Canis lupus familiaris: one gene and its partners. The protein of the gene in region 3 purifies or fractionates together with the protein of the main gene of each other region. This does not show direct contact. Links are inferred from orthologs where the notes say so. Each region holds a gene or a part of one and is shown on either strand. Other genes may lie near its edges.

Region 1 (4,927 bases), on a different chromosome or scaffold from region 3:
TTTTCCATCAATATAAGAGGAAATGAGATGAAGAAGAGAACCTAGACATATTTTTTTTGTGTTGTCTGGAATTTTCTGTCATTAAGGTATGTTCTGGAAAAGGACATGCTTGTCCTATGGCATATTGCTCTCAAAAATAAATTCTAAGAGGTAGTAGTTTTAGTCTCTTATCAAATTATTTCCTAGAAATCAGCCATCTACTTCAGAAAGAGATTAAAAGCCAAATTTTAAAAACTGTATACCAGGAAATGCCTCATTTATGAATGTATGCACATTTGAGCTTATAAATTGGGTAATTGTGCACCTAACAACTCTGTTTATTTTATCATTATTCACTCTATGTATACAAATTAAGGCTTTGTAATTCAAATTTTGTAGCCTGGGATACTCATGATTAGAGAATGGTTATTTTTCATGCTGCTGTTCAGTGTTAATGCATACAATTACAGAATACCTCATTTACTCTGGTAGATTTGTACCAAGAGCTACTTTACTAAGCCTTTATTCTGAAGTGGTATAGGTAAGTAATAGTTAATTTGGCTGTTATATAAAAAAATATTCAAAAAGGTATAAAAAATCTGTATTGCAGTCTTTGCATCAAAGGACTGAGTTGACATCTGGATTTAAGTTCTGCCAAGTATATTTTAAAAATTAAGTTCCCTTAAAATGATTGTGATAAGAATAGATAACCCAGATATTTTGCAATTATAGCTCATCTCTGAAATGCCTGAGCCCAGATACAATGGTCCTGATAGTTTATTGCCAAACATTGTGCTAAATACTTCCATAGATTTTGGAAGAAAATCAGCCATTATTTAATCTTGACAGTAATTATGCAAATATATACATAGATGTATGGATGTAAGTATTATGTGAACGTGTGTTAGTTTTCTATTGCTGCCGTAATAGTTACTACAAACTTTGTGGCTCAAAACAATAGAAATTTATTCTCTTACAGTTTGGGGGGGCAGAAGTCTGACATGAGTTTTACTGGGCCAAAACCAAAGTGTCAGCAGGGCCACATTCCTCTGGGAAACTCTAGAGGAGAATCTGTTTCCTTGCTTTTCCCAGCTTCTAAGGATGCATTCCTTGTATTTGTTGCTTATGACCCCGTCCTCCCATCTTTAAAGCTAATAGCTACACCATCTTCTCTTCTTTTGTAGTAAAACCTTCCTCTGCCTCCCTCTTATAGGAACATTTGTGATTACAATTAAGGCCCACCTACATAATCCAAGACTGTTCATTTTTTTTCCAATATGCTCATCTTCTACTCTTGTCTTTCCTTTCTATAAAACCAGTACTTAAAAAAAAATAAAGTAAAATAAAAAAATAAAATAAAACCAGTACTTAGCAATCTAAGGTCATGAGTTTATGAATTGAAGCACCAATTTACATAACTTGATATTGTGATGAATTCAGAAATAATTTGTATTTGCTATTTGAACACCCGCACATGTTTAGATTCATACCTTCTTATTTCCCTTAAGCCTTTTTGTCACCTTCTCTTTCACCTTTGTTGCTCTTGACACTAATGGAGAATTGACCACTATGCCACGGGTGGTGTTTTTCTAAGTGATATGATGAGAGTTTTTAGGACACAATCCTAAAGGCTCCTGTATTCCTAGAAGGTCATAGATATCTGAGCTAGATTATTTTTTTCTGGTTTTGTTCAGTATCATTCCATTGTTTATGCTTTATCCTATACCTTTGGAGAGAAAATTTTATTTTGTACTTCTAATATATGATTTATGACTTCTAGAGTTACCAATAAATATATTGTAGCAAAGTAAGCATTAATTTTATTGTATAATTTATAAGCGAAATGTTTACATTTTCTTTTTTGAATTACAGGATACCAGAAGGTCCCATCGACCAGGCGCCAGCTTCAGGAAGGGTTCGTGCTTTAGAAGAACAGCTTTTGAAGGCCAAAGAACAGATTGAAAATTATAAGAAACAAACTAGAAATGGTAGGTGATTATGTAATCTTTTTCTTCTTTAATATGTTGATATTACCACAAATAATTAAAATTTTCTTTCATCAAAATATGAAAATGTTAATACTATTTATTCTTTGACTGCAGGTCTGGGGAAGGATCATGAAATCCTAAGGAGGAGGATTGAAAATGGAGCTAAAGAGCTCTGGTTTTTTCTACAAAGTGAATTAAAGAAATTAAAGAATTTAGAAGGAAATGTACTCCAAAGACATGCAGATGAATTTCTGTCAGATTTGGGACATCATGAAAGGTGCTATTCTTTTTTTACATTTCATTGGGGCTTTGGTAAAGATTATACTCTAAGAATATAAACTGGAATTTTTGTTAATTTCCCTATTGAATGGTAAGTGATACCTACCATATTTAGAAGAAGAGTACCTAAGATTTTAAGGACAATAATTCCCAAGTGTAGTTCATCAACTAAAATATATCACTGGAAAATATTATTTAAAATGTATTTTTAGAAATCTTTATAACCCTAAGTGAACTCTGAAGGTGTCAGCCAGTAATGCATTAAAATATCTTCCTATAAATTTCCTTCATATACAATCAATAATTGGAGTATGCAGTTTTACATTATAGTACATTGGAACTCATACTGAGGCTGGCAGTTATGTTTCTAATTCACACGTTAAAGACTTTAAAATAACACCTTTTTAGGATCTCTAATTAAAGGTTGCACATGTTTTTAATAAATGGCTACATTTCTTTTAATTCTTTTCTACTTAGTTGCTTTAGAAAGAAGAACCTGAGATCTCCCTAGTTAAATTTATTTCTCCTGTTTACATATTCCTGAAAATATGCAGTTTATCTTCCATAGAAAAGAAAACATTTTGGTACTGGAGTATTCATGTGGAACACAGTGTATCTGAGAATCATTATAAATACAGTGAAACCTGTCCTTAGGCCTGTTATATATACAAGTCTATATTCCCAGTAGGATTCTGATGGCAATTACTGTCTCATTAGTGAACAGTAAAAGAAAAATTGTTGTATTAACACAATCTACCACTGGGAAGAAGAAAAGAATTACCCCACAACCAAGAGATTTATATATATTAACAGCATCCCCAATATTGTACAGATTTGAAATACTGTTTTGCTATTTTAAGTGAAATTACAAATAAAATCCATCAGTTTATTGGAATCATTTTAGCATTAATCTACAGAAGTAAGCATTAATCTCAAGGGGCATTCAGCAGTCCCTTTTAAAATTTTAGCCATATTTAGACCATTAGACCAATTGCTGATTAATTCCATCCTTATTGCTTCTCTACCCTAAAGCTGATTCTGAGCATCATGATTCTGCTAATTGGAGCTGTATGCTTGTATGCTTTGCTTAATGCAGTTTTATAGGATAATGCAGATCTGAAGAGGATTTGAGTTGGGTAGACTATGTGGTATTTAAAGGACAATTTTGGCTATTGAATTCTTTGTGTTTAAAGTTTGAGTGATTAAATTACTTGAAAATTTAATCTTCAGGTCTTTTCTAAATTAAAATTATTATTTAAAGAATTATTTTGTGCATGTATTTTGTGACTGTATATAGAAATAGAAAAATATGTGCAAATATACAAATGAAAAAAGTGTGGAGCCCTAAAGTTGATGTAAATCATTGTTAAATTTTTTGTAAGTTGAATTTTGTTTTAAATATATTATGATTCCTGACACTACCTTTTAGTATATGTTAAATAATAATATTTCACTGAAAAGAAAATGGAAAGGTACCCCAGTCAGTTTCTTTTGTTATCTTAGGCAGAAATTCTAAGGAACTTGGGATGCAACTTCACTGGGTAGTAATTTCACTTCAGGTAGCTGTATTAGAATGCAATGATAAAATAATGAGCAAAGCACAGCCAGACATTGGAGAAATAACCCTAAAGTTATGAATGTATAATTAGAGAGAATTTGTATGTATGCAGAATATGCCATCTTATAATTTTCAAGATTTTTAAGTGTAAGAATTAAAACAGACTTTTGTGTTTGCCTCTGGTGATTTTTACATTGCACAAAAATTCCCATTTCACTTTTTCATTTCCCCAAATGTAGTGTATAGGTTGTCTCTGGACTAAAAGTTTGTGTTCTCTAAGAAATCAGAGGGTGCGTCGATTAGTGTTTTTGTTCAGCTTTCCCTATGATCACTGTTGTCATCTTTTGGTTCAGAAAGACATCAGTTGGGTGCGTGGATGGCTCAGTCGGTTGGGCATCTGCCTTCGGCTCAGGTCATGATCTCAGGGTTCTGGGATCCAGCCCTGGTGTCAGTGTTGGGCTCCCTACTCAGTCCCCTCTTCCTCTGCCATTGCCCTCTTATGCTCCATCTCACTCTCTGTCTCTCTCTCACTCTCTCAAATAAATAAATAAAATCCTTTTAAAAAATTTAAAAAAAGAAAGACATCAATTATAGGAACAAATTTAGAGGCTTTTGTTTCTTCAAAAGGGTTTTTTTCTTTCTTAGAACTTTGTTCTGATAGAAACATTGATCTTTTTCCTAAGTCAGTTTTATTGTGACATAATTTATATACTATAAAACATATGTATTTTAGTCTGTAGTTCTATGAGTTTTCACAAATGCTTGCAGTTTTGTTACCAACACCACAATCAACATACAGAACATTGCTATTAACCCATGAAGTTTCCTCATGCTCCTTTGTAGTCAGCACCTGCCCATCCCGTAGTCCTTGGCAGTCATTAGGTCTGTTTCCTATACCTATAATTTTGCCTTTTCCAGAATTTTATGTAAATGCAATCATTGTGTAGCTTTGAGTGTGGCACAATGCATCTGAGATTCACCCATGTTGTTTTGTGTATTGGTAGTTCATTTCTTTTTATTGCTAAGTAATATCCTATTGTATGGATGTACCATAGGTAGTTTATCCATTCACCAATTGAAGAACATTTGAGTTGTTTATATGTTTTGGTGATTATGAATAAAG
Region 2 (4,927 bases), on a different chromosome or scaffold from region 3:
CTCTTTTCACATCTGTCAGACTATATCTTTAAAAGATAAGGATTCTTCTTTAAAATAATACTAATGAAAATAGTTTATGAAAGTCATATAAACAGATGAGAAAAAAAAATCAGAATATTACTGAATTCACCCATGGTCCTCGTGCCCAAATAACCATTGTTAACATTTTGATATATTTCTTTGCAGATGAGAAAAAAATTATTTTAAGACCTTTTTCTACCTTCCCTGTCCTATGACCCAGACTTTGTGAACAAGTTTGAGATTATTAGCTTTATTACAGCTATGATGAGATAGATTATTAGAACCACTTTCTTTTTCTTTATTTTTTAAAATAATTTTCATTTCTTTATTCATGAGAGACAGAGAGAGAGGCAGAGACACAGGCAGAGAGAGAAGCAGGCTCCTCACAGGGAGCCTGACGCAGGACTTGATCCCCGGATCGGGATCACACCCAGAGCCAAAGGCAGATGCTCAACCACTGAGCCACCCAGGAATCCCCCCACTTTCTTTTTCATAGAGAAAAAAAATCAATATAAGCAGAATTTTAAAAGTATATCTATTATGGGATGGTTATGCTCTATAGAAGGAGCCATGGCAGCATTTCTTTTTTAATGACAAGTACTTTTTAATTTACAGAAATCTGGATTTTCAGAAACCTTGTTCTTTGAAAATATTCAGCAAGTATTGCATAGTGCCTATCAAGTGCAGTGTGAGTTTGCCTATATGGAAACGACATTGTTGATGACTAGCACATGCAATTTTAAGAACATTTTCAACCCTTTGTTTGGTGAGGTCCTCTTCTCTAAAGCAGCAAAGGGAATTTTCAAGGTTAATCTGAAACTTTTGGGCAGCCTGGGTGGCTCAGCGGTTTAGTGCCGCCTTCAGCCCAGGGTCTGATCCTGGAGACCCGGGATCGAGTCCCACATTGGGCTCCCTGCATGGCGCCTGCTTCTCTCTCTGCCTGTGTCTCTGCCTCTCTCTCTGTGTCTCTCATGAATAAATAAATGAAATCTTTTAAAAAAATCTGAAACTTTTTTTCAGCTATTCTTTTATTACTTATTTGTCTGGGGGAAGAAGACCATTTCTATAGTGTTAGACATTTCAAAATTAATCTGTAGGGGCTTAAAATATAAATGTATTAGGTGAGGAATAGCAATTGATTAGATAAAATGGAAGAGAAAAGAAAGAACCTTACCGACATAAAAGAGAATCAGATTGATTTCCAGGCCAAGAACGATCCTGCTTCCCTTCACAGTCTCCATTTCTTGGGGTGTGCGTGTGCGGTGGTGGGCAGTATGCATTTGAAGAGAGTGAGCTCTTTTTTTTCTGTCTCTTTAGAAAAGAAGAACTGAAGAGAGGAACTCTTATTAAGGAACCATAACCGGGAACTTTTTGAAATTGTGTAAAAGATTGTTTGTAACCCAGTTTCACCATTTAGAGTTGAGATTTTAGTATAGGGTACATTTCTAAATGTGCATATGGTAAATTGTTTCTTGAATTTGTAGACATTTTGAGGGAGATTTTGATTTACATGTAGTCTTTATTCCCAGGAGAGAGTATTGTTTGACAGATAAATTGTTCCTTTAAATTTCCAGAGTATTTTGGTCACTGATCCTGGGGTACCTACTGTGTGCTCAGTGCTGGGCCAGTCACACTGGAAGCAGAAGGAAGTGTTTTCATGTAGAGAGAAGAGAAAAATTAATGAACAATACATCGTGGTATAATGAAGAAATGCTATGTGACATTAACTAGCTGTACCTCAGATTTGTGTAACCCCTTTCTAATGTGTCTTTGAGACCAAGAGTGGGCCCTCTGTTGAAGTTCCCTCCTCCTCCCTCTCCTGCCCCACGGAGGCCTCATCAGTCGGGTTCTTCCTTGGAAGCAGCAGAAACAGACTCTGGCTGATTTCAGTGAAAGGAAATTGATTGAAAGGATTCAAGGGTAGCTCACACAGTCATGGGAGGATTGGAGAATCATGCGTAGGGTCTAGAGCCAAGAAAAACACCTCAGAAAAACATGCTGTAAAACTGATCTGAAAAGTGTACTCCTGCTGCCGAGCACTAGGGACCATGGCACAGACTGCACTCTATTGTTCATAACACTTGATGCTGCCCCAGCTGCTTAGTGTCATGGCCACTGCTCTGCCCTCCCAGAGAAGGAGCCTACGTCCCTCTTGTCTGGGTCACTAGGTCTTCAGTCTGTGTCCCAGGCGAGTGTTCTGAACTTAAGTCATGTGCCGGTGCCTTCACCATAGGAATAGAGGGGAAAGCTACTTCCCCAGGCTTTGACTGCCATAGGACTCTAGGAAGAGGGTTCAGGTGCCGGGTGTCTTTGTACTCTTGGCACATATCATGCATTTTCTCACAGAAAGTTACTCTCTGTCTGAATTTAGTAATATACTTAATATGTGTGCATTTTAAAAAACATCACAGTATATACAAACAACCTAGAATTGACATATACCATCATCTGTGTGTGTCTGTGTGTCTGTAGCCAATGCTTGGTGTGAACCTGAAGACTTTATCCAGCCACCCCATCCCCACTCCTTAAGCATCTGAATGCTCTCCTAGGCTTGCAAATGACCGGGACAGATTTCAGCCACTAGTCCAAGAAATGCCAGGCCGACACATCCGTTCTAGTGCGCGCTCTCTCTCTCTCTCTTTGGTTTTGGAGCTTAACTTGTATAAAAGTGTTATGAAAAGTTAGGGAGTAGCTCAACTTCACTTGAAAAACACATCGATGATCTGTCGTTATAAATTAAAAGCCTCATTAGTCTGTTTTCGGCCTGATAAATCTTTCTAGTTAATACATTGCATACATTTACTATATCTCGGGTGTATTTTCTTGCATTTATCCCTAACCTTTCTTTCACATTTTATGGGTAACTCTCTGCTTTCATATTCCTGTGTTTAATGAGGAGTTCACTAAAACCATGAACTATTACAACCCATTTGGTCTAATGAAGGGTAATATCTGAAACTGTCAAAGATGGTAAAACTATAAGTTTTGGATCCAGACAAACCTGGGAATGCATTTCTGCTCTTACCCTCACTAACCTTGTAGGCTTGGGTGAATCCTCAGCCCTCTGGGTCCATACTTCATTTCTGTCCTCTTACCTCGGGGATATGAGGAAGATGATTCATCAAAGTCCCCGGTGCTTGGCACATACCAAGTCCTTGGCAAATGTTGTTCTTCCTCCCTTCTCTCTTTAAGTAACTTGTTTGTTCAAGAATTTAACTTAATGTTTCTATTTGTTTTAGTAGGTGGCAAGTGGGAGAAACCATCAGAAATTTTAGAAATCAAGGGACAGAATTGGGAAGAACAAGTGAATAGTCTGCCTGAAGTTTTCAGAAAAGCTGGTTTTGTTATTGAAGCTTTCACCAGACTACCATACCTGTGTGAAGGTGACATGTATAATGACTACTACGTTCTGGATGATGCTGTCTTTGTTCTCAAACCAGTATAGACACGTGGAGGCCCAAGTCTTCAGAGCCCACCCCAAGAATGTACACTCCAGAAGAGGGTCTGCGTTTGCGGTTATGTGAAGGGAGGACCTTTGGGGACTGCCATTCTAAATATCATGTAGGAATTTAAAAAGCCAAAATACTAATTATTTCTTTGTAGTGTGTAAAAGGAATGTTTTTAAAAAACAAAACCCAACTCTTTGAGGATTTTTATCAACTCTTTACTCAGTAATACAGGTCACACTCCAAGTATGGAAGATATTTTTTATACTTAATTGCAGTAGGGACTCATCCCCAGTCAAAGCAATAGTCACGACTTCACATGGAACCAATAAATATGGATTGTTTTTAATAAAATGAAGACTGGCAATAAAGCTGTCCATTCAGTTGCAAATATTTGGTTACAAGGTATAGCCACTGATACTCTTTCATGTTTAGAAATTCTGTCATTATTCAAAAAATGTTTTTAATCATGCTAATAAACTTTTTTGGAGATGACTCTGGCATCATGTTTGAGTTAATATAAGGCTCCCCTAGGATCTTTTATTGCTTTGGCTTCAAGAGTGCCCACATAGTAGCATTAGGTGAAAAGTACAGTTGACTATGTGATAAAGGCTTCCGACTGGGTGAGGGGCTGGGGGATTATTGAAATTGTGGTGAACACTGAGGCAGTCTAGACTAACCCTTGAAAGAGCAACCTCATTCAGATCTAATACTTCAGGGACCATCTCCCACTCCCATTTTATGTTGCTTTGGGAAGTGCAAAACACTGGCTTCTGACTTTGTGATAGCTTCCACACTAGACTCAGAATTCTGTTTTTCTGGACAATCTCAGGTTCTCATAATTTTTTTTTATTCTTTTTTTTATTTATGATAGTCACACACACACACACACACACACAGAGGCAGAGACACAGGCAGAGGGAGAAGCAGGCTCCATGCACCGGGAGCCCGGCGTGGGATTCGATCCCGTGTCTCCAGGATCGCGCCCTGGGCCAAAGGCAGGCGCTAAACCGCTGCGCCACCCAGGGATCCCTCAGGTTCTCATAATTGAACCATTCCGTTGTGTCTGCTGATAAAACGCAGCCTAAAAATGTTTTAATTCCCCTTCTTACTCTACACATGTATACCTCTTTCCCAGAACCTGGTTCTTCCCGAAATCCTTAACTGAGTTTATTTGCCAAGAATATGGATTGATGAAGACCATGTTAGACTCCTACATTCTAGAATCCTTGAGTGCCTCCAACCATATACCCACAAATGTTGCAATAGAGGAACTCATTAGCAAGATCAATAACCATTGTGCATATTCCAAAGAGAGTAGAGCACTTAACCCAGAATCTAAAATCTCAATAATAACAGAGACACGGATTTAAAATCGTGGTTATTAACAATATGTTATTCTCATGACTTTATTTCTTTTTTCAGCCAGGTGTTTCATTAAGTATTCTCATTTATATGCT
Region 3 (4,927 bases):
CTAAAATGTCATTTTGGCAATTTCTAGGAATCAGCTGAATTCCATTACTCTTAGCTGTGGGCAGGCATTGGGATCCCTTTTATGCTGCTCACATGGGTGAAAACTGGAATGGAAAACCAAGAGTTGAGGCGCAGGCTGCAGGAGCCTCATGGGCCTTCTAAGTGTGGAAATCCTCCCTGCCAAGGATCTCTGTTCATGCTTTAGTTTGACTTTCATTTTACTTTATTTTGAAAAAAAAAATTTTTTTTTATTTCATTGGTTCTGCCTTATATGAAAGTTCACAAAAAAAGATGATTTTAAGTGTTTAGGAAAATTATCACTGGGATATGGAGTTGCCAGATTTAGGGTTTGGCCATGTGTACATACTTGCAGGATGCTCAATATGTGTGAAATATTGCATGGGACATATTTATCCTAAAAAATTATTTATTGTTTATCTGAAATACAAATTTAACTAGACATCCATTTAATCTGGCATACCTACTAAGGTAACTTATCATTTGCCATCCAAACCAGGAGACTTTTGAGAGTGAAGAGTGCAGTGGCGCACTTTTAATGATTATGCCAGGACAACAGACATAAATTGGGGCTATCCCAGAAAACTGTAAAGTATTGTCAACTTAATTATAGGGAATTTTGAGATAATTTTTAATTATTGGTTTAAGATTTTCATAAGTAATCACAGCTGTATGTCATTAACTTAAATAGCTATGAATTTTTGTAAATAAAGCGTATTGCCTTATAATTTTATATTAACAATTTGATTAAGTCATCTTAAAAACTATGTGGCCTAATTCATAGCTTCAACCTTGACACATTAAAGTTCTCTTTTTGGGGTGGGGAAAGAGTTTTAAGAAGAATTGGTTTTTGTTTTGTTCTGTTTTTTACCTAAAAAAATTTACTGGGAGTAGTCCCAGTGTAGGGCTCAAACTCATAACCCCAAGATCAAGAGTCTCATTGTCTACTGTCTGAGCCAGCCAGGTCCCCCAGTATTTATTAAATACCAACTTTAGAGAAAGTTTTCTTATTTTGTGAGTAAAATGAAGCTACCACTAGTATATTAAATTTACAGTTAAAAAAATCTTTTTTTAATAATAAATTTATTTTTTATTGGTGTTCAATTTGCCAACATACAAAATAACACCCAGTGCTCATCCCGTCAAGTGTCCCCCTAAGTGCCCGCGACTCAGTCACCCCCACCCCCCCGCCCTCCTCCCCTTCCTTTTAAAATTTATTCATTCATTCATTCATTCATTTTACAGAGAGAGAAAGAGAGCACAAGCAGGGGAAGCAGAGTCCCTGTTGAGTGGAGAGCCCAGTGACCTAGGGCTTGATCCTAGGACCTTGGGATCATGACCTGAACTGAAGGCAGACACTTAACTGACTGAGCCACCTAGGCACAAATATTTTAGCTCCTTTTTTTTTTTTTTTTTTTTTTAATGTGTATGTACTTTACCATTAGCAAGTATAACTTAAGATGAGAAATTCCGTGCATCATCTTCTGTCTGGTATTTGACTTAATTCTTCTAACCAATTTACTTCTTGTTTTGGGGGATTTAGGAAAGCCTGTCCTTCTTACTTAATTGTATAGCCTTTTATCATCTCCCCTTGCTCAGCCTAACCTCATTCAGCAAATGCATCCATAAATATTTGCTATGTGACAACCACTCTGTTGAGTGCTATAGTAAATGTGACATGGAATGGAACTGGTCCTATCCTCAGGCTGCTGAGAGTCTGCCCTCAATGTGGAAGTGTCTCCACAGCTTTGTATATTTCAGAGTCTTTCTCAGTCTTCTTCAGCCCCATGTGTTTTTTGAAGTATGATTATGAGTATGTCAGAAATAGGCATACCATGGTTTTGAATAGGAACTATTTGTTGTCTTACTCCATCATTTGTTCTGCTAATGCACAGGATTTTTTTTTTTTAAGATTTTTGTTTATTCATTAATGAGAGAGAGAGAGGCAGAGACACAGACAGAGGGACAAGCAGGCTCCCTGCAGGGAGCCTGATTTGGGACTTGATCCCAGGACCCTGGGATCACAACCTGAACCAAAGGAAGATGCTCAACCACTGAGCCACCCAGGTATCCTTAAATGCAGCGTTTTCGCAACATTGATGAGATATGTTCAGGAAACAGCTTATAACTGCTAGATAACTTTTCTGTGTTGTAATTTATGCATCAGAATAAAATTGTATCAAAGTTCAATATATTTGAGCTGCCTGGAACCTTTTAGCAATGACTTGATTCAGATAACAGTCTCCCAAGTTGTTTTACCTTTAATAAGATTAATGTCTGGTTTGTCTAAAGGAAAAATTTTCTTTAAAAGTATTTTTTTGCTTTTATTGTTTTGACTGTCAACAATTGCTTTATATTATAATCCTAGTTAATTATTTAAAAATGTACTTCCCATTGCCCTATTGTGTTATCTTGAAAAGGTAAAAAATTATCTCTACTGTGTACTTACATGGTAGAAGTTTATATGATACAAAAGCATATATGGTGCAGTTGTCCTTGTCTCCTAGCTACCTATTTTCCTCATAACCAGTTTTTTTCATCAGTATTTTGTATGTCCTTTCAGAGATTGGATGTACAGATATTATTTATATATTCTCTTTTTTCACAAGTAGTAACATACCATACGCACTTTGCTTTTTTCGTGTAACACTATATCTTGGAGATTACTCCTTATTAGAACATAAAAAGCTATATTCTTTTTTAACAGCTGCATAGTATTCCATGTTATAGGGCCTTATAATCACTTTTATTGTTTTCAGTTGTTTGCTGTTATATACTGTGCTTGACGAATAGCTTCATAATATACCTCATTTTGCACATGTGATGAATGTGTATATCACTCTAAGAAGAAGAATTTCTGTGTCAAAGTACATTCATGAATATTTGCATGCCTTATTGTTTGTCTTTAGTCTAAAGATAGTATGTGTCTGTGGTAAAACTTAAAACATTTCAAACATTACAGAAAAGAATAAAATGAAAACTAAGTTTGCTAAGCTCCTAGTCGCCACTTCCTTGTGATTATCAATTTGCCTGATTTTTGTTTTTCCTTTTCCCTTTTTTAAAAAAAATATAAATGGCTTAATGATACTCCACTATCTGGATAAATCACACTTTATCCATTAATTTCCTTATTGGTGAACATTTACGATATCTCCAGATATTTTTTGATACTAGTGAAGTTACAATGAAAAACCTTGTAGGTATATCTTTACATATATATCACGTGTTTTATTGAATAGATTCCTAGAATCAAGGAATACATGCATCTTAAATTTCGATTTGTTTTACTAACTGCTGTCCAAAAAGATAGTTCCACTTGATACTTCCACCAGTATATCCTTGCTAACTCTGGCTGTCATCAAGCTTTTTAATATTTACCAGTTTAGTAAGGGACAAAAACCAATCATATTCTTTTTTGAATTTCTTGTATTTAGGATTGATTTTGATAAATTGGTTATTTCTGTTAATTTTCTGTATATTAGTATTTGTGTCCTTTACCCATTTTTGGTATCGGTTCTTCACTTTGTTATTGATTTATAAGTGTACTCTTCTACTGGGAAATTAGTCTGTGGCCATGTATGTTACAAATAATTATTTTTTCAGTTTTTCATTTTTTATCATATGTATGGTCTGTTAAATATACACGGTTTGACCCTAAAGAGATGAGGGAAAAGTGGGGATTGGTAAGAATGAATTAGTGGAGAATCCAGAGCAAACTACCATACACTTTTTACATAAGGAAAGTAACATGACAAATGATACAGGGTTTTTATCTCTTTAGAGGAAAGATATAAATAAAAGAGTGTACAATATTTAGTTTGTATGAAGTGTAATAACCATACTACAGATGTATATGTTCTTTATATTTTTCCCTCCAGAGGTTTTATCAGCTATGATTAGTGTGCTATTGGTGTATATACTTATGGGATTCCTCCTATATGAAGCTGTCCAAAGAACTATCCATATGAAATATGAAATAAATGGAGATATAATGCTCATCACTGCAGCAGTTGGAGTTGCTGTTAATGTAATGTAAGCTCTATTTTTTAAAAAAAAATTAATAGCTTTATTTTTTAGAACAGTTTAGGTTCACAGCAAAATTGAGCAGAAAGTGCAGATTTCCCGTACACCCCTGCCTTCACACATGCATAGATAGCTTCCCCCATTATAAACATCCTCCATCACAGTGATACCTTTGTTACAGTTGATAAACCAGCATTAACACATTACCACACACCATCCTTAGTTTACATTCGGGTTCATTCTCTTATTGTTGTATAGTCTATGGGTTTGGACAATTTTGTAATGATATGTATATACCATTATGGTATCATATACTCTATATTGTTTTCACATTAATATTTTTAAGTACTGTGAACTTAGAGACTATTTACATGCATTTGGTAACGTTCAGTGGTATTTTTATGTATTTTAAAATTATATAGTACATTAATTTTTCTTAATAAAACACTGATGGAATTATAAATTTCTCATTAGTTTGCTCAGTTATACTGAAGTTTGACTAACAACTTGGAATTTAAGTGGGACAAAGTTTTTAACTTTTACTTATATATAAATAAGATTTTTTTTTAACTATAAACTTTTTCCCTAAAAGCTATGAAATTTTTAGGTTATATGATTATTTGGACCAGCAGTCAGCAAACTTTTAATGTAAAGGGCCAGATAGTAACTACTGTAGACTTTGAGACTCATGCAGTCTCTTTTCCAGCTAGTCAGTTCTGCTGTTATAGAACAAAAGCAGCCACATTTAGTATGTAAATAAATGAGCACATCTGTGTCCCAATAAAACTTGGGCCTGTTTGCCAATCCCTTTCCTATTGGCTTCCATTCCTACTTAAAATAAAATAAATAAAAATCAAAGTCCTTAATTTGTTAATAAGATACTGTGT

What was found. Proteins that work in one complex are often made in the same cells at the same time.
Region 1: the proteins of SLC30A4 (region 3) and FUT8 purify together in Homo sapiens (co-immunoprecipitation; 3 studies listed by BioGRID and IntAct, with this or other methods). This does not show direct contact. The link is inferred for Canis lupus familiaris from reciprocal best matches to the Homo sapiens genes SLC30A4 and FUT8.
Region 2: the proteins of SLC30A4 (region 3) and METTL9 purify together in Homo sapiens (co-immunoprecipitation; 3 studies listed by BioGRID and IntAct, with this or other methods). This does not show direct contact. The link is inferred for Canis lupus familiaris from reciprocal best matches to the Homo sapiens genes SLC30A4 and METTL9.

Annotation. Positions count from the first base shown.
Region 1 is NC_049229.1:40,144,502-40,149,428, forward strand, and holds part of FUT8 (alpha-(1,6)-fucosyltransferase), read left to right. Parts: intron 1-1,851; coding exon 1,852-1,967; intron 1,968-2,081; coding exon 2,082-2,244; intron 2,245-4,927. UniProt on the Homo sapiens protein: Catalyzes the addition of fucose in alpha 1-6 linkage to the first GlcNAc residue, next to the peptide chains in N-glycans.
Region 2 is NC_049227.1:23,420,743-23,425,669, reverse strand, and holds the end of METTL9 (methyltransferase-like protein 9), read left to right. Parts: intron 1-1,195; coding exon of another isoform or gene 1,196-1,301; exon of another isoform or gene 1,302-1,352; intron 1,353-3,260; coding exon 3,261-3,466; 3' UTR 3,467-3,962; downstream 3,963-4,927. Other genes in the region: IGSF6 (immunoglobulin superfamily member 6), read right to left, coding at 1,196-1,301. UniProt on the Homo sapiens protein: Protein-histidine N-methyltransferase that specifically catalyzes 1-methylhistidine (pros-methylhistidine) methylation of target proteins.
Region 3 is NC_049251.1:12,123,446-12,128,372, reverse strand, and holds part of SLC30A4 (zinc transporter 4), read left to right. Parts: intron 1-3,895; coding exon 3,896-4,049; intron 4,050-4,927. UniProt on the Homo sapiens protein: Probable proton-coupled zinc ion antiporter mediating zinc import from cytoplasm potentially into the endocytic compartment. Controls zinc deposition in milk.